Caenorhabditis elegans: one gene and its partner. The protein of the gene in region 1 purifies or fractionates together with the protein of each later gene. This does not show direct contact. Each region holds a gene or a part of one and is shown in the gene's direction. Other genes may lie near its edges.

What was found.
Region 2: the proteins of cpz-2 (region 1) and F57C7.4 fractionate together in Caenorhabditis elegans (co-fractionation; one large-scale study listed by BioGRID). This does not show direct contact.

Annotation. Positions count from the first base shown.
Region 1 is NC_003283.11:13,379,400-13,383,788, forward strand, and holds cpz-2 (cathepsin X), read left to right. Parts: upstream 1-1,789; 5' UTR 1,790-1,864; coding exon 1,865-1,912; intron 1,913-1,963; coding exon 1,964-2,185; intron 2,186-2,232; coding exon 2,233-2,451; intron 2,452-2,495; coding exon 2,496-2,778; intron 2,779-2,826; coding exon 2,827-3,018; intron 3,019-3,153; coding exon 3,154-3,593; 3' UTR 3,594-3,678; downstream 3,679-4,389. Other genes in the region: Soluble guanylate cyclase gcy-34, read right to left, coding at 3,723-3,850, 3,901-4,389.
Region 2 is NC_003284.9:10,586,547-10,591,507, reverse strand, and holds the start of F57C7.4 (PKD/REJ-like domain-containing protein), read left to right. Parts: upstream 1-1,942; 5' UTR 1,943-1,969; coding exon 1,970-2,239; intron 2,240-2,300; coding exon 2,301-2,465; intron 2,466-3,599; coding exon 3,600-3,764; intron 3,765-3,810; coding exon 3,811-3,872; intron 3,873-3,917; coding exon 3,918-4,075; intron 4,076-4,122; coding exon 4,123-4,256; intron 4,257-4,305; coding exon 4,306-4,435; intron 4,436-4,481; coding exon 4,482-4,549; intron 4,550-4,591; coding exon 4,592-4,712; intron 4,713-4,758; coding exon 4,759-4,856; intron 4,857-4,901; coding exon 4,902-4,961. Other genes in the region: sdn-1 (putative syndecan), read left to right, coding at 978-1,153.

The DNA of each region.
Region 1 (4,389 bases):
CAATTCTTGTGTGAGCTGTCGATTAGTTTCGGATTTTCGACTGAAGATCTTGAAGTACAGAAAACATTTAATTCAGTTTTCTTGGATATATGAAATAGAGACTTTACACATTCTGTGGAACCATTAGATTCACAAAAAAATTGCTCGAATTTTTCTTCCGAAAATTGTTCTCAACTTCGATCTCTTAAAATGAAAGTTCACATTTTTTAAGAAAGATCCTCAGACAACACGATAATTATTCCATTCTCATCATATCAAGTTTCAGTTTGAATTCAAAGGTTCAAAAAATCTGGCGATGACAATAAAAATCAAAGGACATTTCTGAAAATATAAGAGCATACTCTATCATTGAAAAAGAGAGATACACACATATTTTCAGTAATCGGATCGGACCGGTTTGACCCGGGTGACATTTTGAATTTACATTGTCAATTATTTCATCTCTCTTTTTAAATGGAATATCAATGAGCTGGAGTTTTAAAAATCACTGCTAGCAAAATAAATTTAAAAGATTTTGTGGAAAATTTGTAGAAGAGGCGTCGCACGAGGAATAGTATTATTTTTTCAGGTTCTTGTTTCGAAATCAGAATTCAGGTTTTCAGGTCGTCCCTCGACCACTGTAATTGCTGTACTTACCGATGGTGTGATCCACTGAAACAGGCTCATTCCAGTTGAGAACTTGTACACAGACGATGCCGCTGTTGATATATTCGGATGGAGATGTTGACGATGTTGCCACGTTGATGTCGTGTCGACCCCGATCGTCAGTCGGCATCGGGGTTGAGTTTGATTCGGCCATATCGACGACGATGATGGAGAAACTGGTTCTCGAGGACAGATCAGTCTCTCCTCTCTTCAACTTTAACTTCTGCCGGTCGCGTTTCGCCCAAAAAAGTTGCGAAACTAATTAATACTGTGTATGTCAGAGGTACGTGCCCCATACACACATACATCCACACGCCATATACTCGAGGTCAAAACCCGCGGAACTGAATTTGGAAACCGGTTGGTGCGGGAATGGTGCGCACGCGGTTTTTGATCTACCCGATAGGTTGCGGTTATCTGGTAAGAGGGAGTGATTTTGGAATGTTACCTTTTCAAAAAGTCGTTTCCATCAAACAACATCGTGATATATAATTGGGACTTTGAACATGTTATTGAAGGAATGCAATTTAGTATATGGAGAATGAATATAATTTGTTGAAAATATTTCACAGTACTAATAAGGAACTATAGTAAGCAGCTTTCTTTGTTAGTTATCGTGCAAATTAAAAATATTTTAGTTTATAATCGTCGACTCACTCTCCTATTGGAGCTACCGCTCCACTTTTGCTCGAAAACCTCGGGTAATAAATTTGCAAAGAAAATCAAAAACTTGAGATGTGTTTATTTTGGATTTCATAAAAGTCTTACAGGCCCATCTTTGAACCAAGTTTTCAGCTTCTGGGCATACGCTTCGATAAATTGGAGCAAGATGGACAAAATTAGAGAATTTTTTACTTTTACCAAAAAGAAAAATAACTTTCCCAAAAAAGATTGATTGACAAAAATATTAGTATTTTATTCAGAATTCATCCGTTCAAAAAATATTTAAAAATCCAAATTACATTTCCCAACTTTTGTCATTAAAAATTTGAATCGGCTCTCAAAAATAATTTCATTTTTACCTACTTTTCCACTTTGTTCATGAATTTCTGGAAGATCAAATATGGTGGAAGGTCTCTTCAACTGCAGTACTATTAACAATCTTATCAGTGCTCTCACCATCAGCGCCAGTGATGACAGAGATAAGAAAATTTGCTTGGCTCGATTCAGCTTGTCTTGTCTATTTTTCTTCTCCTACTCAATCGGTGGCTGGTGAAAAATGAATTTGAAATTGATTGGATTCTTGTTTGTTATAGGAACATGTCAGGTAAAAGAGTAAAATACTTTTTGGATCTAATTGTAAAATTATTGGTTTCAGGCCAACTTGTTCAATCTTCCACGTGCTGCCATTCGTCTCACCAGAGAATTTACTGGAATGGACAAGCTCCCAGCTCCAGAAGAACTCGGAGGTGAAGAATATGATATGAAGATTGAGGTCAACAATGTCGTTGAAGAGATGGTTGATGATATGGAAGATAGTAGTGAGGAAGATACCCCATTGGCACGAGTTGTTAATGACGATGATTTATTGTACAAAAAGGTAGGTATATCACTGGAATAATTTTTAGTAAAAATCAATTTTGACAGGGTTTTCATCTCGATTCCCCATTTGAACTGAACAAAAAGGTAAATAAGCCTGTTGTGAGATATCCAAATATAGCTAAAAACAACCAAAAAATTAGAGAAGAAATTGTTTATCCAGCGGATTTTGATGAACACGTTGTCGAAATTTTGGACTCGAGAAAAGAGAGAAAAATCGACTTGTCGCCAATGATCAAGGCCAAGCTGGAAAAGGGATATTATGAGGTTAGCAATGTGAACTTTAAATGTAACCACACATGCGTTTTCAGCCTAATGATGAAGCTCTTGTGGATATGAGCTCAGAGTCAGAAGAGTCTTCAGAAGAATGGGAAGAAGCTCGTCCATACCTCAAATGTGGATGTTTGAAGAAATCTGGAAAAGTTTTCGAATCAAAGACTGCACCAAGAGAATGGGAATCTAGTAGCTTCAAGTCAAACGACCTTCCAACTGGTTGGGACTGGAGAAATGTTAGTGGAGTCAACTATTGCTCTCCAACAAGAAACCAACATATTCCAGTCTATTGTGGATCTTGCTGGGTGTTCGGAACAACTGGTGAGATAAAATAGGTGTCTTCGTGAAGTAGTTTTCATATTATTTCAGGAGCTCTCAACGATCGTTTCAACGTTGCTCGCAAGGGAAGATGGCCAATGACTCAATTGTCGCCACAGGAAATTATTGACTGCAATGGAAAGGGAAATTGTCAAGGTGGAGAAATCGGAAATGTGCTAGAGCACGCTAAGATCCAAGGACTTGTGGAGGAAGGATGCAATGTCTACAGAGCCACAAATGGAGGTGAGAAATTTTAGTTGGATGTAGATGTAGACATTAATCTTGGCAGTTTTATTTTTTTTTATTTTTTCAAAAAAGTTGTTTTAATTTTTCATTCTAACAATGCTCAAATAAATAAAACAATATTTGAAATTCCAGAATGTAACCCATACCATCGCTGTGGATCTTGCTGGCCAAACGAGTGCTTCTCCCTTACCAACTACACTCGTTATTACGTTAAGGATTACGGACAGGTCCAGGGACGTGACAAAATCATGTCTGAAATCAAGAAAGGAGGACCAATTGCATGTGCCATTGGAGCAACAAAGAAATTCGAGTATGAATATGTGAAAGGAGTCTACTCAGAGAAGAGTGATCTCGAATCCAATCATATCATTTCACTCACTGGATGGGGAGTTGATGAGAACGGAGTTGAGTACTGGATCGCCAGAAACAGTTGGGGAGAAGCTTGGGGAGAGCTCGGATGGTTCCGTGTGGTCACTTCAAAGTTCAAGGATGGACAAGGAGATCAGTACAATATGGGAATTGAACGTGATTGTTATTATGCGGATGTTGATGTTTCCAACTTGACTTTCTGAGTGGATAGGAAGATCAATGATCAGATGAAAAATAAATGATATTTATTAGTTTGTTCTGATGACTTGAATAAATTGTTCTGTTGGTTGGGATAGTATTAAAAAATTGAAAAATAATATACAAAATTGAATTTATGCAATTGTGCATGTTGCCGAATGATTCTGATTTGCTTTCGGGTGTCCGTCATGCTTAACAGTTTGTGCATTTTCAATGAAAATCTCTAATTCTTCATAACCCTCGATGCTGTTCACGTTGACATCTGAAAATCACAAATGATTATTTCACTTATTCGTACAACTACAACCGCACCTCTTTCATGATCTGTAATCTCCCAAATGCTCTTTTTCAAGCTTCTCATCAAAAAATATGTCTCCACATCTCCTCGTCCTTTTACATTTATTCTACCTCGAGGACTAAATTCAAATCTTCCAGTTTCCATGGCTTTTGAATACGTCCAGCTACTACATTGTATCTTACCAGCAACACCGAGAGATTCCATTTGAGACGCTAAAGTTACAGTCTCTCCGAATAGACAATAACGTGGCATTTTAGTGCCAACTACTCCGGCAATAATAGTTCCAGAATGAAGTCCAATTCGAAGCAGAAACGGGGTCTTGTTTACAGGGTCCATCACAGAACGGGCTTCCCACATCATTCCCAACGCGACATGGCACATATTTTCTGCATGCTCTGAAGTATAGTCAGGTATTCCAGAGACAGTCATGTAACTGTCTGAAACGGTTTCAACTTTGTAAACACCACGAAGAACCACAATTCTGTCGAGTTTGAAGAAAACTT
Region 2 (4,961 bases), on another chromosome or scaffold:
ATGATGCACCACCACACATACTCTTCTTTCCCCCATGTGTCTAATTATTCCTGGTGGGAAGACGATGAGAGCTCTTCTTTCTTATTGAAAGAAACCAACAAGTATTGGTGAATGACACGCCAGAAATTATATTATTGAAAACGGAGAGATGATGATGATGATGAGGATCAAGATGGGTCCAAATTATATATGAGTGCCACTGAACGAGACACTTCTCAAGTTTTCTATTTTGGCGCAAAAATGTAGGAAGAGATGTTTAGTTTTTTTCTTTCCACAACACTTGCTTTGAACAAACTTTTTTGTGTTTACTGCCTTTTGTGAGGAAGTACAGATGCCTTGAAATGGGTTTTTAAAGAAAACATAGACCCCTTATGACGCGTGTCTCAAAATGTGGGGAAAGACGAATTGTTCAGTAAAGTTGACATCTCTTCTCAAAACTTGCTATGCTTTCTTCTTTTGTGGTTATCAAAATCTGAGCAGCATCCCACATCTAACAAAGGAGCCCCAGCTCTATTCTCTTGAGAAAAAGGGCCTGAGGTTCGGGATGGTGGGACGGAAGCCGCTGAAGAAAGAAGGAAGGCAAGGTCAAGGGTCGCATTTTGTGCATATTTGATTTTATGACACTGAGTGGAGGAAGTGTCTGTGAGGAAAAGGGGAACCTTTTGAATGAAAGGTTTTGAGAGAAGATGACGGTTTTGAAAGGATTTAGTGAGTTGGAAAGGAAAACTAAAATTTTTTTTCACTTAGTTACAAAATTAAACTCTTATTGAAATTATTCACTACCAAGAAAGTTCAATTTAGGACAATGCAATATTTCTTACATGCATCGCATTACTGATATTATATGTTGTCCTTACGGGTTGAGATCATAAAAATATGTTTGGAATAAAGCACAAAGCTTATTTATTTTTTAGTAACGAAAAGATTTAAAGTTGTAGAATTATCTATTTTAATTTGATTTAATTTGATATTTTCAGCTATTGCCGGAGGTGTTCTCGTTGCGGTGATTACAGCCATTCTACTCGTGCTCTTTGTAGTCTTTCGAATCAGGAAAAAAGATGAAGGGTCATACGCATTGGATGAACCCAAGCAAGCAAGACCATATGCCTCGTATGGTTATACCAAAGCATCGACAAAAGAATTTTACGCGTAATCTCTACTGTCATTTGTTCAAAATCTTCTATCACTCAATCACCTTTCAAATCATTTTTATGATTCTGTTCTCAGACTTCATTCCAATCTGCCATACCTTTCAATTTGTTTTTTTCCCACTCCCATTTTTTTCAAACCCTCCCCCCCCCCGCCTTCCTTTCGTAAAGGTCATTACTCTCTGTTCTACTCGTGATAATTTGATAATATAAACTGATCTGACTCCATGGTGCCAAATATTTGAATATAATCTTTTGTAGACCCACTTAGGGGTAGGGATGCATGTATCTTTGACTCAATTTATACTATACTCCCTTGTTACTATAATGTGCTCATATTATCCTATTCTAGAAATTTCCACCTAATTTCCAAAATCCCTCAACACTCTCACGCGGTTTCTCTGGTTTCTGATGGCACTTATCTGCTAGAGTTTTTTGTTTCAAAACTTGCCTCTTGAAATTTGTACTTTTTCTTGTTTTATCCGTTTACCTTTTTCTTTCCAATAACATCTTCTGTAACAATTTGAGATGCTCACATATTTTATGTATTCAAATTTATAAATATAAAAATATTACATTAATGTTCCAAAACAATATAAATAAACAAATAACGAAAGAAAAATGATCATGAGAAATCTCACATGGACAATGAAATAACAAGAAGAAGGAAACGAAGCCTTAAATTGAAAATAACGGGTTTCCATAGAGACAAAATAAAGCTGCGCGTTTTTTCAATCAGAATACGTAAAACTTTTTTGCCTCGTGCACTAATACTTTTCGAGCTTTCTTTTTTGGCTTCGGTTGCCATGTAATTTTTCTGAATGATAGAAGAGCGCCTATTGAAGTATTTGTTATTACTGTTCCTAATTCTTGGATTCTGCGAATGTAAGATTCTCAATCAATGCTATTCATCTGGAACAAGCTGTATTCGGTTTGAAAAAGCTTATTTTGAATTTGTGGACACTGTTCAACTAACCAGCGATAATGTGCCAACTCTAAAAGACAACGCAGGAACAACATCAACTCGTGTTGTGCTCAGTGAGCTTCTAAGTCATTTGGCATTCAATCATAGTTGGACACTTGCCGCATTGGTTAGCTTCCTTTTCGAAAATTCTGAATAATTGACGAACACGCAATTCAATTTGCATTCAGGTGGTCAACGCAGGCACACGCACTGACGTTCAATGGAAAATAGCTCCTGATGAGACAAGTGAGCATCCAATTGAAATAGACGATCCAGATGGATATGACAATCCGTTTCCTAATGCGACAGTTCATTGCGTCGACATTCAAAATTATGCTGATGACGCAAAACGGGTAAGTATTGGTCATGTCTCATTCATCTTCATTTTGAAGGTGTCTCCGAATGGTCTTCTTGTTACCACATAGAACCATATAAAATATATGAGAACAAAAAACGAAAAAAAAACGTATTGAAAGATGGGAATAGGAACCATATGGTTGTAATGTAATGGCGCGTTTCGTGTCGCCGTGTGTGTATGTTCAAAATGCGTCAAAGACCTTGTGAAAGACCAACTGCTCTTGTCTTTTATTTCGATTATGCAAAGGGTGTGAAATTGAAGGTGTATTGGTAGTGAGAAAATTGATTCTGTATTTAAGTGCCTTACACTTGATAGTCGGGGGAGCAACCAATATATTCGACTTTGACATTAAAAAAAACCTTACTGGTGTATCAGAGACCGGCACTTTTAGAAGTAAATTTTTGAATGAAAACGTAAGGATAATTTTTGAATTTTCAGGCTTTGAAAATAACATTACAAAACCTAAATATATCACGTTTAATTTGAATGTAATAATAAACAAAAAATTGAAAATTTTTGAAAATGCAGGGAATCAATACAACAGTGCCAGGAACGTTATAATTAAAAAGTTATGTTATATGGAAAAATGTGAAACACATGTTATATCTGCCACAGGTTTATACATGTTAGGTTTTTTAGGTAAAGTACATGCTTATTGTTATAGTAAAAACATCAACAATAGAATAAACATTATAATAGTTCAAATCAATTATGCACGTGTCGATGCTAATCCATCGGTCACAATACTTATAGTAAACACATTTTTGTGCTGTTTTACACAACAACAATGAAGAAACGATAATAGTTTAGTAAAATTATTTCCATTGGAATAGTGATTACTTTTTCAGAGCCCAATATTTAGATAACTTTTTAAAGCCAAGTTGATGCGTCATATGATAAAGCAGAAATATACAAGAGCGTGTTGTATCAAATATCCTGGATAAATTGAATTTAGAATCTTAGGACTATTATCAATGATGAGTTTAGATCCCCATCAAATTTGCGGATTTATTATAGTAGAAAGTTCCAGTAACAACATTGATCGGTTGAATTATTAAACTACATTTATAAAAAATAATTTTAAATCGTCTTTTAATACCTCAATTCTTTCTAACAGTGGCATTTTCAGTTTTTGGTAGTACCACCCAACTACAATTTCTTTTTTTCTGTTAATGGCTCCGCTTCCATAAACTGTTCAAAAAGTGGGATTTCAATTATTCCGTTTGTTTGGGATGATACCAGTAGGGCAAGTATACGAGGAATGTCCTATTTTTCTTCATCACCTTGCTCTAGTGTGAGATTGACAAAGATCAAATATATTTTTTAATTCTTCAATTTAGGAATGCCTCGTGTTGCCTATCCCAACATTGTTGGTTAGATTCTGCCCAAATGTCAACAACAGGTACAACTAACTTATATTAAAAATTATAACTATTTTTTAATACAGCAATTTGGAAATTCACATTGATAAAGTTGAAGATTTTACTGCCGAGTTGTCTGATGATTTACTTGGTATAAACATTCAAAAGGTTAATGATTCAATTGAATTTCCAATGGGCATTATGAATTGTGAGGTTTTGATGGAAAACTCTTCCATTCTCGGAGGTAACTAGTTTTTCCACCAAATCATTCATAAAGTACATATTATTCAGAAAACCCTATTTGTCTGGGAGATGGGGCAAATGTCGCCATTAAATTTGGTGCCAATCCAAAGATCGGCATACTACAAGAAGTGAAAACAAAATTCTCACCTCGATCAGCATTTCTCAAAAGTCCAAAAAATGCGGTAAATTCTCATTGAAGGGCAAATAAAATTGAAAGGCGCACAGTTGCAGGTGTATCCAAACTTTACAGTTTCCCATGAAAAAGAAGTGGCTACATGTTCTAATTCAACAACGTTCGAAGTAAAACAGATTTCAGGGAACGGCTTCATGCCTTTGAGTTTTCAGTGGACTATTTTGAATGGTTGGATTTTTTTATAATGTAATATCAATCAACTTCATAAATTAAGGTACCTTGGATATGGAAACCATTGCAAAAGCCGCAACAGAAAGACTTCTGGAAATCCCCAGTCATCATGTAAGATATAAAAATAAAACTTGATTTATTTTATTTTTGAAGCTATCAACAAACAATGTGATACTGGTCACCGGGTGTAATGTAGCGGAAAAATGCACTTCAAGTGGACCAATCTATACCGCACTTGTTGATGATGCATCAGTGTTTTCAGTTTCTATTGATGGTACTTGATACTTTTTAAAATGTTGAGTAAACTCAAATTATTCTAGGCGTTGAACAAGAAACCCCTGCTTCATTCGGTCTTCGTCTCCGTGCAAACCCTACTTTTAAGCAATGCAGCTCCAAAACGTCCCCAAAAGATGTTCAGGTGTTTCAATACATAAGCTTTAAAAAATGACATTATTTTTTTCAGTACGAGTGGAAATTGAATGGGGAAGGCAAAATGTATGATGACGGGCTCAAACTACCGGCT